Linked DNA regions of Oryzias latipes. The protein of the gene in region 1 binds, or shares a complex with, the protein of each later gene. Links are inferred from orthologs where the notes say so. Each region holds a gene or a part of one and is shown in the gene's direction. Other genes may lie near its edges.

Region 1 (3,755 bases):
CTGACAGAACAGGGATCGACAGAGACTTCTTCAGGAAAATAGAGTCGTTGGTGTAAAGCCTATTTGCTCTCTTGATTTGTTCCATCTGGAAGACAGAAGAATGTTGTTGTTTTTTTTTTAAACTAACAAATGTCAGAATCAAAAAAAATTATGTCATAACATAAAACCAATGAATAGATTTTACTTTTAGTGTGGAAACAAAAGATGTTCCTTGTTAATATTTCAAATTGTTTTAATTGTCTAAAGTAGGGAGTACAAATCTGGTTTATTATACTTACAGAGACTCCATACTTCAGGGCCAGACCTTGGAGCGTGTCTCCGGACTGAACCGTGTGTTCAACGTGTCTCTGGCGGACCGGAGACGCCGGCGACGATCGCATCAAGCTGCCGTACGACATAGCTCGGCTTCCGCGAAGAAGACCGCCTCTCCCGGATGGCAAAGCCGCTCGTTGTCCGGACATATCCGATAATTATTTATGTGAAAATCATCAGTAACACGTACGCAATTTTAATGTTGGAACTGGTTTGACGTCGTCCTAAACTAGCAAGCCCAGTTCACCTGCTAGCTGCTAAAGTATCGACTAATTCATCTTCTTCTTGCCAAAGTGCCGAAATGGCACTGCCTGAACCTTATCAACAGTCGGGAATTGAAGAAAAACTACTTAAAACACCTTAAACATAGCTTAACTGTCAGTAAACAATCTAAAAACATATCTAAAAACTTTAAATATGTTGTTTTTTTCAGTCAGCTGCAGTCTGTTGCCATGGCTGCCGCTGTGAATGACGGCTCTCATTGGGTGGGTTGTGTTCAAAGTAATTTGAATACTGAAATTTAAATGAAAACATAACATTTTTATTTTTTTTATTTTAATCAGAGTTTGTTTAGTATGAATTAAAATTTCATTGATTAAAATAGGCAGTTTTTTTCCCCTTCGCGATTTATTTACAAAAAATATGTGATGTTATAAACATTTCACATCGATGCTTTCTTAAGAGTACATGCAAACAAATCAATTTAAATGTAAAATAATATTTTAACAATGGTTTGTTAGACTAGTTAACTTGACCATAAATAAATGAAATGGTACGATGGGAAACTGCAACGTGGTTAGCTGGAAATCGTGGACAAAAAAAGTGTACATGTTTGTCCCTGAATGCAGCACTACCAACACTTCCGGGATAGTGTGACGTATAGAGAAGCTAGCCCAATGAGTTAACTCATTGAGCTAGCCGTTAATCTGGTGTTTATACCATTGATTTACTTCGATATAATTATGTCATTCAAAAGGGAAGGAAATGATGGGAGCCAACTTAATATTTTAAAGGTATTTAAAATGATATAATACATTGTATTCATAAAAGAATAGGCTTTCTTAAAGTTCATACGCTGTCGTTTTTTATTTGTTTTGCTAGCTTAGCTAGTAGCAAGTTTCATATGGATATAATGTACACAGAGTAAATGAAAACTGTTTGGTAAAGTATTTAATGTAAATTTTTCATCTGCTATGAAATACTTACTGATGATTTGGGCTGTTGGTTTACAGAAACGGCGTGTATCTGACCTTTTGTCCAATTTTATTCCGGAAGATGAAGCTGCTCTTCTGAGTAATGGCAGGTGAATATAACTAAACCCTAAGTGTCAGTTTTGTTGTGAAAGTAACTCACCTTTCTGCGTTCGCTCCACACAGGTACACGTGCCTTGTGTGTTCGTATCGCCCAGTGTTTGACACAGTTGACATGTTGACAGTCCACAGGCAAGGGAAGAAGCATTTAGAAGGTAAATATCCTCCTTAAAAAGTGACTCTTAGTGTGGAAAATTTTTAAATTCCCCAGTATAAAAGTGTCTTGGTGGTCATATTTAGATGTAGACAAAACACTGTAGGCTCATTTCTCTCAGATAGTGTTTGCACATTTGGCCCCAAACAGATCTTCTGTGTTGTTGATGTAACAGGTGTGTCATATTAAGGCACTAATGACAGGAGGTGTGAGCATCATTCGCCTGACGTTCGTTGTTTTCCGACATTAATGCTACATAACAGAGTATTGGTAGAAAATGGATGTAAATGTCACTCCAGAATGGGTGTGACATGTAAATATGTCATATATGTTTTCTTATTTTTTAAATAAAGTTTTATTATGCATGTGCTTTTGGTGCATGCTTTTATATCCGTTGTGTTTTTTTGTTTTGTGTTTTAGGTTTAAAATCCTTTTATGGGAAAAAGTCAAAGTTCAAGAATGAAATTGCAAAAAGAAAACATGAAGATTATGTCAGAGCAGAAGACAAAGAGGTTTGGAGCTTCAACTTGATCATTTTACCTGCGGGTAATTTTGTATTTTGACCGACCGACCGACCGACCGACCGACCGACCGACGTACCGACCGACCGACCGACCGACGTACCGACCGACCGACGTACCGACCGACCGACCGACCGACCGACCGACCGACCGACCATCACACGAAACAATGACATGATGACCGACCGACCGACCATCACACGAAACAATGACATGATGACCGACCGACCGACCATCACACGAAACAATGACATGATGACCGACCGACCGACCATCACACGAAACAATGACATGATGACCGTGTGATGACCGACCGACCGACCGACCGACCGACCGTTTTTACAGAGACGACTAAATACTTAGTGTTATTGTGGTTAAATTTTTATTGTTGCTGAATTATAGTACTTTATTGACTTGTTTTGGAATGACAGTTGTAGAAAGGATGCACCTCCTGTACTCCTGTAAAGATATTATGTCGCTGCTTGTAACATGTTAAATATGGATATAAGAATAAGTCGTATTCTTGTGTGACATCCAGTACGTGCTTGTGGCTGCCACGTGACTCAGACAACCTGTAGACTCTGCAGCGTGAGTTGAAGCGGGTGTCTGCTGGTGGAAAACATGAGCAGAGCCGGCCAGAGGACACATGGAGCATTTAGCTGAGTTGGAGTCTGTCAGAGCTCAGTCTGAGAGACAAGTCTCTTTTGTTGTGATTGCAGGAGCCCTCCAGTTCGGCACCTTTACTGGCACAGACCCGGAAACTTACCCATCATGCTCTTCTGAAGACTGTTCCATACAACAGCTGCCACAGAAAAACCAGGTTGGTCATCATTTAAGGTTAAAATACTCATCTGTAGTTTAAAATGGAAGTAAAGATGTGAACATATATCTGTTTATTTATTTATTTTCAGTACAAAGTTGAATAAAGGACAGTCGAGCACTGCTGGAAACACATTTCAACACAATTTCCCATCTGCATGTTGGAAACCAGAAGTTTCTGACAATGCATCCACAAGTGATTCTAGTGATTGTTTCACAGGTAAAATCTGCTCCTAGAAATCATATTTTGATATTTTATTTAAAATAACTGATGGTTCTGTTTCAACTGATGCTTTTATTTTTATTTTTGTAGAGTCTTGTTCATCCAAAGACAGAATTCAGTGTCAGTCTGAGTCGAGACAAACGGCAGAACTCATAACGCCGCAGAGGCGAAGAGAGATGGAGCACTACCTCAAACTGAAAAGGTGCAAAACTCTCTTTTCCTTTTTGTCACCAGTGCTAGATTGAATCTGCAGGCCACAGAAACTATGTTTTAGAAACTCTTAGCTTAACAGTCCAAGCAGTAAACTGATAAAATGAGTGAAGTCCTCTGCCTCAGGCTCCACACCCAGCTCCTCTCCAGCATCTTCACATGCGGCCCGTTGAAATTATTCTGCTTCCTTGATTTGTTCTCTCACT
Region 2 (3,755 bases), on another chromosome or scaffold:
TCATAAAGTATTGTATAAATATCATACCTAATCAATGCCTGAAGTTTGGTGAGTTTATATTCTGCAACAAATCTTACACCACAATTTCCCTTTAGAATGTGCAGCCAAAATGAAAAGTAATGCTTTTATACAAAGATGATAAATTAATTTGGTTTTAATTTCAAAAGGTTCTAGTTCAGTGTCATCACTGAAAACAAGGTGAGCATCTTTACTACAAATTTTGACCGCTTTATTAGTAAGGTTTGCTGAGCTGTGGTCACCCCTGGCTGCAAGGTGGGCAAAATATCAATGCCAACGACTCTAAGAATACAACCAAAATGTACTTATTTTTCCTAAAAGCTAATGACCACCTCTTGATTTATGTTTTGAAGTTATTTCATTCAGTTCTTTGTACAGAAATGGGAGCTACCGGCAATTTTTTGTTAACATTTGTTCATTTTTGCAAGGTTAGGTCTTAAAGCACTGTTGTCCATTTGTTTTTGTTTTTTCAGTGAGTTTTTTCTCACAAACCTCAGAACAACACTTTCATAAAAACTACTAATCATCAATGTAAAAAATCTTCATCTTTGGAGGATTCAGCATTCACGTCCATTCCAAAGTGTCAATTCAAAGTGTCTGTGTTGTTTGGGTCTGCGATCTGTGGAGGATTTTAAAATATATCTATTTTGTATCATAAAATATAATACATTCTTCACGTCGAAAATTAGGTTTTTATCAGTAGTGCAATATAATTATGGTCTCTGGGCAAAGTCGTTTGGATTCTGTTTTTACTTTTATTTTGAAAGTACAGAGGAGAGTGTGTTAACTTGTGTTTTCTCCCTTCGGCCGAAGTTTGACAAAGCGACACGAAAACACAGGGAGAATTGAACTCCAATCTAATTTAAGCGTTAAATTGAGTCGTTAGTTGAACGTACAAATTACGTCAGTAGTATGACATGTCAAACTTATTAAACAAATCCATTCCCTCGGTTACTCTGCTGTTCCACACAGCAAGAAAACTTTTATTGTGAAATCCGGATGCGCGTTGTGAACCGGAACTACATTTTAAGTTTTTCCGCCTTAACAGGACAGTAAAGAGACATTTCGAAATATAGTCGACAAAGGGAATTTGAAGGCTACTAAACGGCAAGTAACGGAATATAGTTTTAATTCAAAGACTATGAATGAACGATTTTCTAGTTTTACTAACAGACTAGCTAAAAATTAGTCGTGTATCTTTTTGGCGTTTATGTAGCATTAGCAGTTAGCCGAGTAGCTCATCCAGATTCACATGGTTGCCGTCAGTCTCTGGTGTAAAAATTAGTTTGTTTATAACATTGTTAAACAAATCTTTTATTTTCGACTAGTGTTGATATTTATTAGCTTAATATTTGACTTGTGATTAGTTGTAGGTATTTTGTTTCTCAGTGTTCCTGGAGCTACCTGTTGTTAGCTCAGTGGATAATAAAATGACACAATTATACCTAAAAAAATAGATAGCAACTAGGGATCGCTGATTATTTTATTCTTTCCATGGATCTGAAAGACCTTACCACTTCAGAAACTGTTTATTACTACATTTAAAAAAAACATGATTGGTGTGGTTCCAAAATAACTGGTTTGCCATCTAAGTTCTTCAAATGTATGGCTGCCCTTAAGTTAAACTGGAGATTCCACATAAAACAAACAAGTCCGAGTATAAGGCGTCTCAAACTTTGAGCCAGGGTGACACTTTAGTTCGATTCCTACTGCTTGAAAGTAAGAATAAGGACATTAGTGCACTTGAAGTTTTACCAAAATAAGAAAAATAAATTGGCTCTTTTCTTAATCCAGTATTCATGGGCAACCAACCCATGTGTACCTTATTCTCATTCTTTTAAACTTTTTCCGTACTAAATGAATTAAACTGGATTGTAAAATCAAGTCAACATTTATTATTATTATTATTATTATTATTATTATTATTAATGTCACTTATAGTCTTGCTCTGCTCATACCCAATATTACTGTACATTTAGAATTCACCTGATGTTCTGGTTACTGATTAGATTTCCAAAGAGGTTTTTATTTATTTATTCGTTTGCTTTTTTACTTTATTGGCCTTCTTAAGAACCATCCCCACCACCACCACCCCAAAAAAGTCATCCCTCATAATTGTTTATTGATCACAAAAGACTGTTGCATTGATGGGAGATAGATAGTCAAATATAAAAATGTTGTGATTTTTTTCTTCTTCTTTTTAAATGCTTTTAAGTTGTGTTGTGAAAGAAGATTTTATGTTTTCCGTTCACTATACAGGAGATTGACTATTTTTCTGCCTCCTTTTCTTTTAGTGATGGACTCTTCAGATAAAAGCCAAAGTCCCACTCCTCAAAATGAACCACCTAGAGGTGAGTAAAACACTGCCAGAACAATAGTGTAGTAATCAAATGTCGGCATCAGTTGATTTGATATCAAATTGTTATTTGGGTCTGTTCTGGATGTACAGCAGGTGACGAATCCAATCCAGCTGATGGGAGACTCCAACAAGTTAGTGCAGAGGAGGAAAGCACCAAAGAGCAGCAGTCTCCACAAAGAAAGTCTCCAATGTCCAGGAACTCATCCAAGAGCCCCAACTCTAGCAGCTCAGACAGCAGCAGCAGTGAAGATGAACATCATGGTGCACTAAGGAAGATACGGAGTAGTGTTGCTGAAATCAAAGTGAGTTATTTCATATACGTACTGTTTTACAATCAACTTCCAAAAATTTGAATATCATAACAATAGTATGTTCATTTCCATAATTGCATTAAAAAATACACTTTAATAGAATCTAATCTCATGTCCCTTTGTTTAATTAATTTCGCGTATTTATTTGATTTTTTTATTTATTTATTTATTTTGCATAAATTAGGATTCCAGCTTATGAAACCCACAAAAAACAGGATTTCAAAAAAAATTGGAATACTATGGAAATATTTTCCTAAATTTAGCTAGCATGAATGTTTTAAATTGGGTTTCATCAACTAATCACCTACTAAAATCAAGGTTCAATATGGGGAAGACTTTAGACTTCACAACTGGCCAGAAGACCGTCATTGATCCCTCCATAGTCTGGGTAATCAGTCACCAACGTTCCTAGCTAAGGAAGCTGGCTGTTCACAGCTGTCCAAGCAGATCACTGGAAAGTTCAATGGAAGGGTAAAATGTGGCAAGAGAAGATGCAGGAGCAAAAGAGACAACCGTGGGCTTCAGCGGATTATCAAAAGATTAAAGAAGCTCCAGAAATCCAGAAAGAGTGGAATGGGGGGGAGGAACAGCTTTAAGAACCACTACACTCAGACGCATGTGGGAGATGGGCTACAACTGTCGGGTTCCTCGGGTTAAACCACTTCTGAGCCTGGACAAACGGAGGAAACATTTCAATGGGGCCAAAATGAAGAAGGACTGGACTGTTGGCCAGCGGTCCACGGTCCTGTTTTGTTATGAGAGATAAGTGTGCCGTTTATTTGGACTGGTGAGGAGCAGAACCCAAACTGCTAGGGGTCCAGTGTGAAATCTCCACAGTCAGTCCTGATTTGGGCTGCAATTTCCAGCACTGGTGTTGGAAAACTCTGATTTCCGTCTAGCAGAATGTTCTAGAGCAGCGGTCCCCAAACCCCCGGGTCGCGGACTGGTACCGGTCCGTGAGTCATTTGTTAACGGGCCGTGGAGGAAGAAAAAAAAAAGAAGCTTGCATTACTTCCGTTTTATTTATTTCCGAATCTGAAAGATGTTTTATATTGAAAAATTGCCCG
Region 3 (3,755 bases), on another chromosome or scaffold:
TTGTTAGAGTAAGCATGCTGAGGTCAGAACATAGCTGGCTCTTCCAGCATAGCAATCATTCCAAACACACTAAAAATGAAGCTTTTTTTTTTTAACAAAAAGTTGGTAAAATGTCTGCAAACAGGTGCAGAATTCTAATTGAAAGGCACAGAAAACAAAATATGAAGTTTAAGTTACCAATACTTTGTCCAGTCATTTCACTAGTTAATTATTGTACAAAAATTCCAGAGTTATGCCTGATTTTCATTAAATTATTTATAAATTGATTAATACTTTTGTCATTTCTCAGACATTTCTTAAAACATTGGAGGGGAGGGACAAGTTTGGTGCAATCCAAATATTGTTCAGTATTAAGGGGAAAAGGGGCAAATCATGTTCTCTCTTCTCCCTTTCATTTAAGAGTGTATTTTTGAGCCTAAGAGGTGTTTTAGATTTGTATTTTCACAATTATGTATTGATATATCTTTGGAAAAGAATAAAATAAACTCATCAAACTTAAACAGCAAACACTGAACAAATATAAACCAGTGTTTCTGTAGTTGAAGTTAAAGCCAAAGGCAGCAAAGAGTCCAACGGCACAAATCCAGAGAAACATCCTTTTAAAGAGGAAGGCATATTATCTGAGAAGAACATCTCAAAACCTAAGGATGAAGACTCATCAGGTCTAAAATGGAAAAAGACAGGAATTTTACATCTGTTACAAGTGTTTCAATTATGTTTAATAGAATCTACGTATCAAGACTGTTAAATAAAGTTAAAAATAATGTGTTCAATTTGGAATAAACTATATTTAAAAATCATGTTGTGATGTTAATGTTCACTTTGAGTGGAGAAATTAAGCTACAGGAAGACACTGAACCTGATGCACATTGCCCCATGGTGGCCACGTAAAATGTTTTGCAAACCCTAATCGCACATTTCTACAGTAATTCTACCGGTTACTTCAAAAGAAGAGACAAGATGACTCCTCGTAAACACTTCCTTGTTTACACCAGTGCTCAAAGGTTTTATATGTTTTTCATTTTAAATGTGAGTGTTGGTTTGCTGAAATCAGTAATAGACATTTTTGGCTGTAATGCTTTAGAATTCAACCATGTACCCTGGAATATCACCACAGCATTTTGAAAAAGAAAGGTGTAACAAAGCATTTTTGTGCTAATTCTTTCTCCTTTGGTACAATATAGTAATTTCTTTACGATAAATATCAGATTACATTTGAAATGAGTAATGCATTTTCCAATTCTTTTTAAACGCACCAACAGAATCGTATTCTTGACGCATGCGCAACAGCAATTTCAATCCGGAAGTGACGTTCTATGGTATCCTCTTTCCGCTAGCCGTGTAGTGGAATCGTGAGTATTTTTTCCAAGTCAAAGACGTTTTTTTACAGATGTTTTTTTGTTAAAACGGTATAAATATGATAAATGTAGCCATACATCTCGTTTGATTAGTGTGCAGTGAATCTTAAAACAAATAAGTTTTCTAAAGAGCCCAAAATGAGTTTTTTGTCTTGTCTGAGTGTTAGCATAATCAAATTTGGTGGCTAGTAATACCCTTTATAAGTATTAAAGTCTGTTTAATCGATAAATGTATGTATATGTTTTGTTATATACAACTGATGTTACCTTGTTTGTTCTGCGTTTAAAGTACAGTAGCTAACTGAAAATAACTGTACTCATGTTTGACAAATACCGTGTTGTTGTTGAAGCAGGTTAGGGATGACTACCGCAGCAAGACCAACGTTTGAGCCGGCGAGAGGAGGGAGAGGAAAAGGAGAAGGCGATCTGAGTGCCTTGTCCAAGCAATATTCCAGCCGAGATCTTCCAGGTCACACCAAGATCAAATACAGGTGGTTTTTAGTTCCTATTAAACTCTGCTGCGACAGCTCAGTTGAAAAAGAAAGCGATTGTTTGAAAGAAACATATTTAATCATGTTAAGATTCTCGAAGATTCAATCTGAATTATTTGGGAAATGGTCAAACCGGATTGATTAAATTAGTCTTTTTGTGCTATAATTATTAAAAAGTGGAACATAAATCTACACTTGATTAAATGTCTACATGTATAATGTGTTGGGTACAATTAAGCTAACCTCACGTTGGAGCATCACATGAATCAGTTTATGACATGGGGGGGGGGGGGGGCATGTGTGCATTTTCTTGTCTATTTAGTGTCTCTCCATGACCCTTAAGAAAATGTTAAATAATTTGCTCACAAATATCTTGCATCTAATAAGTCATTGCTCAGTATTAAAATGGTTATCAACTAAATTGTATAACCATAAAGCTTTTGTACATTTGGAGTACATCATTTAGTATTGATAATTCTTGATGGTTTGTTTGCTGCAGGTTATGTTTAAATTGTAGCTACAGTGTGTAGGAGGGGTGGTTTGCATTTACCAATTGTGCAAGTTCTACAAAAAATATTTTTACAATTTTCGCTATATATTTTTTTTTAATATGCATTCAATCTCTCACAGTTGTAGTGTATATGATGGAATCATAGACCTCTCATCTTTTTAAATTAGACAATTTGCTAAATATGTTACTGAGAAATACTTTTTCCCCCAACTGTACATGTTACTATTTATCTCATGAGTGGTTTTTGGAGTTTGTAGTGGGACTTAGTCTTGAAAATGCTATGATCCCTTAGACAGCCCACTCAGGATGCCCCCGAGGAGGTGCGTGCCCGTGATTTCCGTAGGGAACTGGAGGAGAAGGAGCGTGTAGCAGCACGTGAGAAGACCAGAGAGAGGGGACCAAGAGGTTAGTCTCTATCAAAATTTTAGACTTACTGTTTTTGACACACAAGTATAAACCAAGCAAAGTATGTATTTTTCTGTAAATGCAGTCTTTACATTTTTTTCTCTCCAGAACACACTACATCCTCTTCATCATCTTCATCATCATCAAAGAGGCCCAGGTTGGATCAGATTCCAGCTGCTAACCTTGATGCTGATGACCCTCTCACTGATGTAAGTGTCTGCACTGATATAATAAAGAAAACATTTCATCAGTACACCTACGGCTGGGAGATGAGACCTTTTCTCGCTGTTGCACTTGACATGATCTGAATAGATATTGATATTTTAGTGCTATAAAACTTTCTCTTTAAAGACTGTAAATATTAAAATTAGCAATAAAATGCCTGGATTGACTTAATTGGGGAAAAATCACTGTAAAGTTGACTTTTAACAAACAATTTCTTTTGTACAACTTCTCTGCTTTGGACACATTAAACTTGAAACATCCCAGATGGTTCATTTGTGGTTAATTTTAGCTGATCAGACCACCTAAAAGAACAATTGTGGGTAAACTTAAAACTTAGTTTTTTCATTCAAGAAAAAAAATGTACACAAAATTTAAAAAGTGTGGCAAACAAACTTGATTTAAATATGACCGTTGTTCCTCCTCTGGAAAAATTGAGCAGACTGGGGCTCTCCAAATGCCAGGCTGGTGTATTTAAAGGCTAAACTCCCTGCATTGCCTCTTATGGTCGGTCCCACAGTACAGCTCCTGAAGCTGAACCTCATCCACATCTACAGCTACCAGCAACACATCCAGCACTGGTACCTCCAACAAGGTGGCATTAGTTAAACTGATAACTGTAGCTGACTTAAAAGTGTCCAAGTGTGCACACTACAAATAAAGACTGATGTACTCTCTTGTAAATGTCTTTTATTGAGAATACGTCTGAAAATGTCAACTTATTTAAAAGTCATTAAACAGTGGAAAAGAACGTCAGCAGTGCATGGG

The links.
Region 2: scnm1 (region 1) and cwc22 share a complex: the UniProt entries of both Homo sapiens proteins name them as parts of the minor spliceosome. The link is inferred for Oryzias latipes from reciprocal best matches to the Homo sapiens genes SCNM1 and CWC22.
Region 3: scnm1 (region 1) and cwc15 share a complex: the UniProt entries of both Homo sapiens proteins name them as parts of the minor spliceosome. The link is inferred for Oryzias latipes from reciprocal best matches to the Homo sapiens genes SCNM1 and CWC15.

What each region holds. Positions count from the first base shown.
Region 1 is NC_019874.2:27,122,289-27,126,043, reverse strand, and holds the start of scnm1 (sodium channel modifier 1), read left to right. Parts: upstream 1-1,182; 5' UTR 1,183-1,274; coding exon 1,275-1,325; intron 1,326-1,544; coding exon 1,545-1,615; intron 1,616-1,688; coding exon 1,689-1,777; intron 1,778-2,196; coding exon 2,197-2,288; intron 2,289-3,016; coding exon 3,017-3,117; intron 3,118-3,208; coding exon 3,209-3,336; intron 3,337-3,429; coding exon 3,430-3,541; intron 3,542-3,755. Other genes in the region: lysmd1 (lysM and putative peptidoglycan-binding domain-containing protein 1), read right to left, coding at 1-85, 279-461. UniProt on the Homo sapiens protein: As a component of the minor spliceosome, involved in the splicing of U12-type introns in pre-mRNAs. Plays a role in the regulation of primary cilia length and Hedgehog signaling.
Region 2 is NC_019879.2:6,703,929-6,707,683, reverse strand, and holds the start of cwc22 (pre-mRNA-splicing factor CWC22 homolog), read left to right. Parts: upstream 1-1,004; 5' UTR 1,005-1,125; intron 1,126-2,312; 5' UTR 2,313-2,314; coding exon 2,315-2,369; intron 2,370-2,467; coding exon 2,468-2,679; intron 2,680-3,755. UniProt on the Homo sapiens protein: Required for pre-mRNA splicing as component of the spliceosome. As a component of the minor spliceosome, involved in the splicing of U12-type introns in pre-mRNAs. Promotes exon-junction complex (EJC) assembly.
Region 3 is NC_019872.2:16,001,062-16,004,816, reverse strand, and holds the start of cwc15 (spliceosome-associated protein CWC15 homolog), read left to right. Parts: upstream 1-1,252; 5' UTR 1,253-1,352; intron 1,353-1,708; exon of another isoform or gene 1,709-1,711; 5' UTR 1,712-1,718; coding exon 1,719-1,849; intron 1,850-2,652; coding exon 2,653-2,765; intron 2,766-2,873; coding exon 2,874-2,974; intron 2,975-3,755. UniProt on the Homo sapiens protein: Involved in pre-mRNA splicing as component of the spliceosome. Component of the PRP19-CDC5L complex that forms an integral part of the spliceosome and is required for activating pre-mRNA splicing.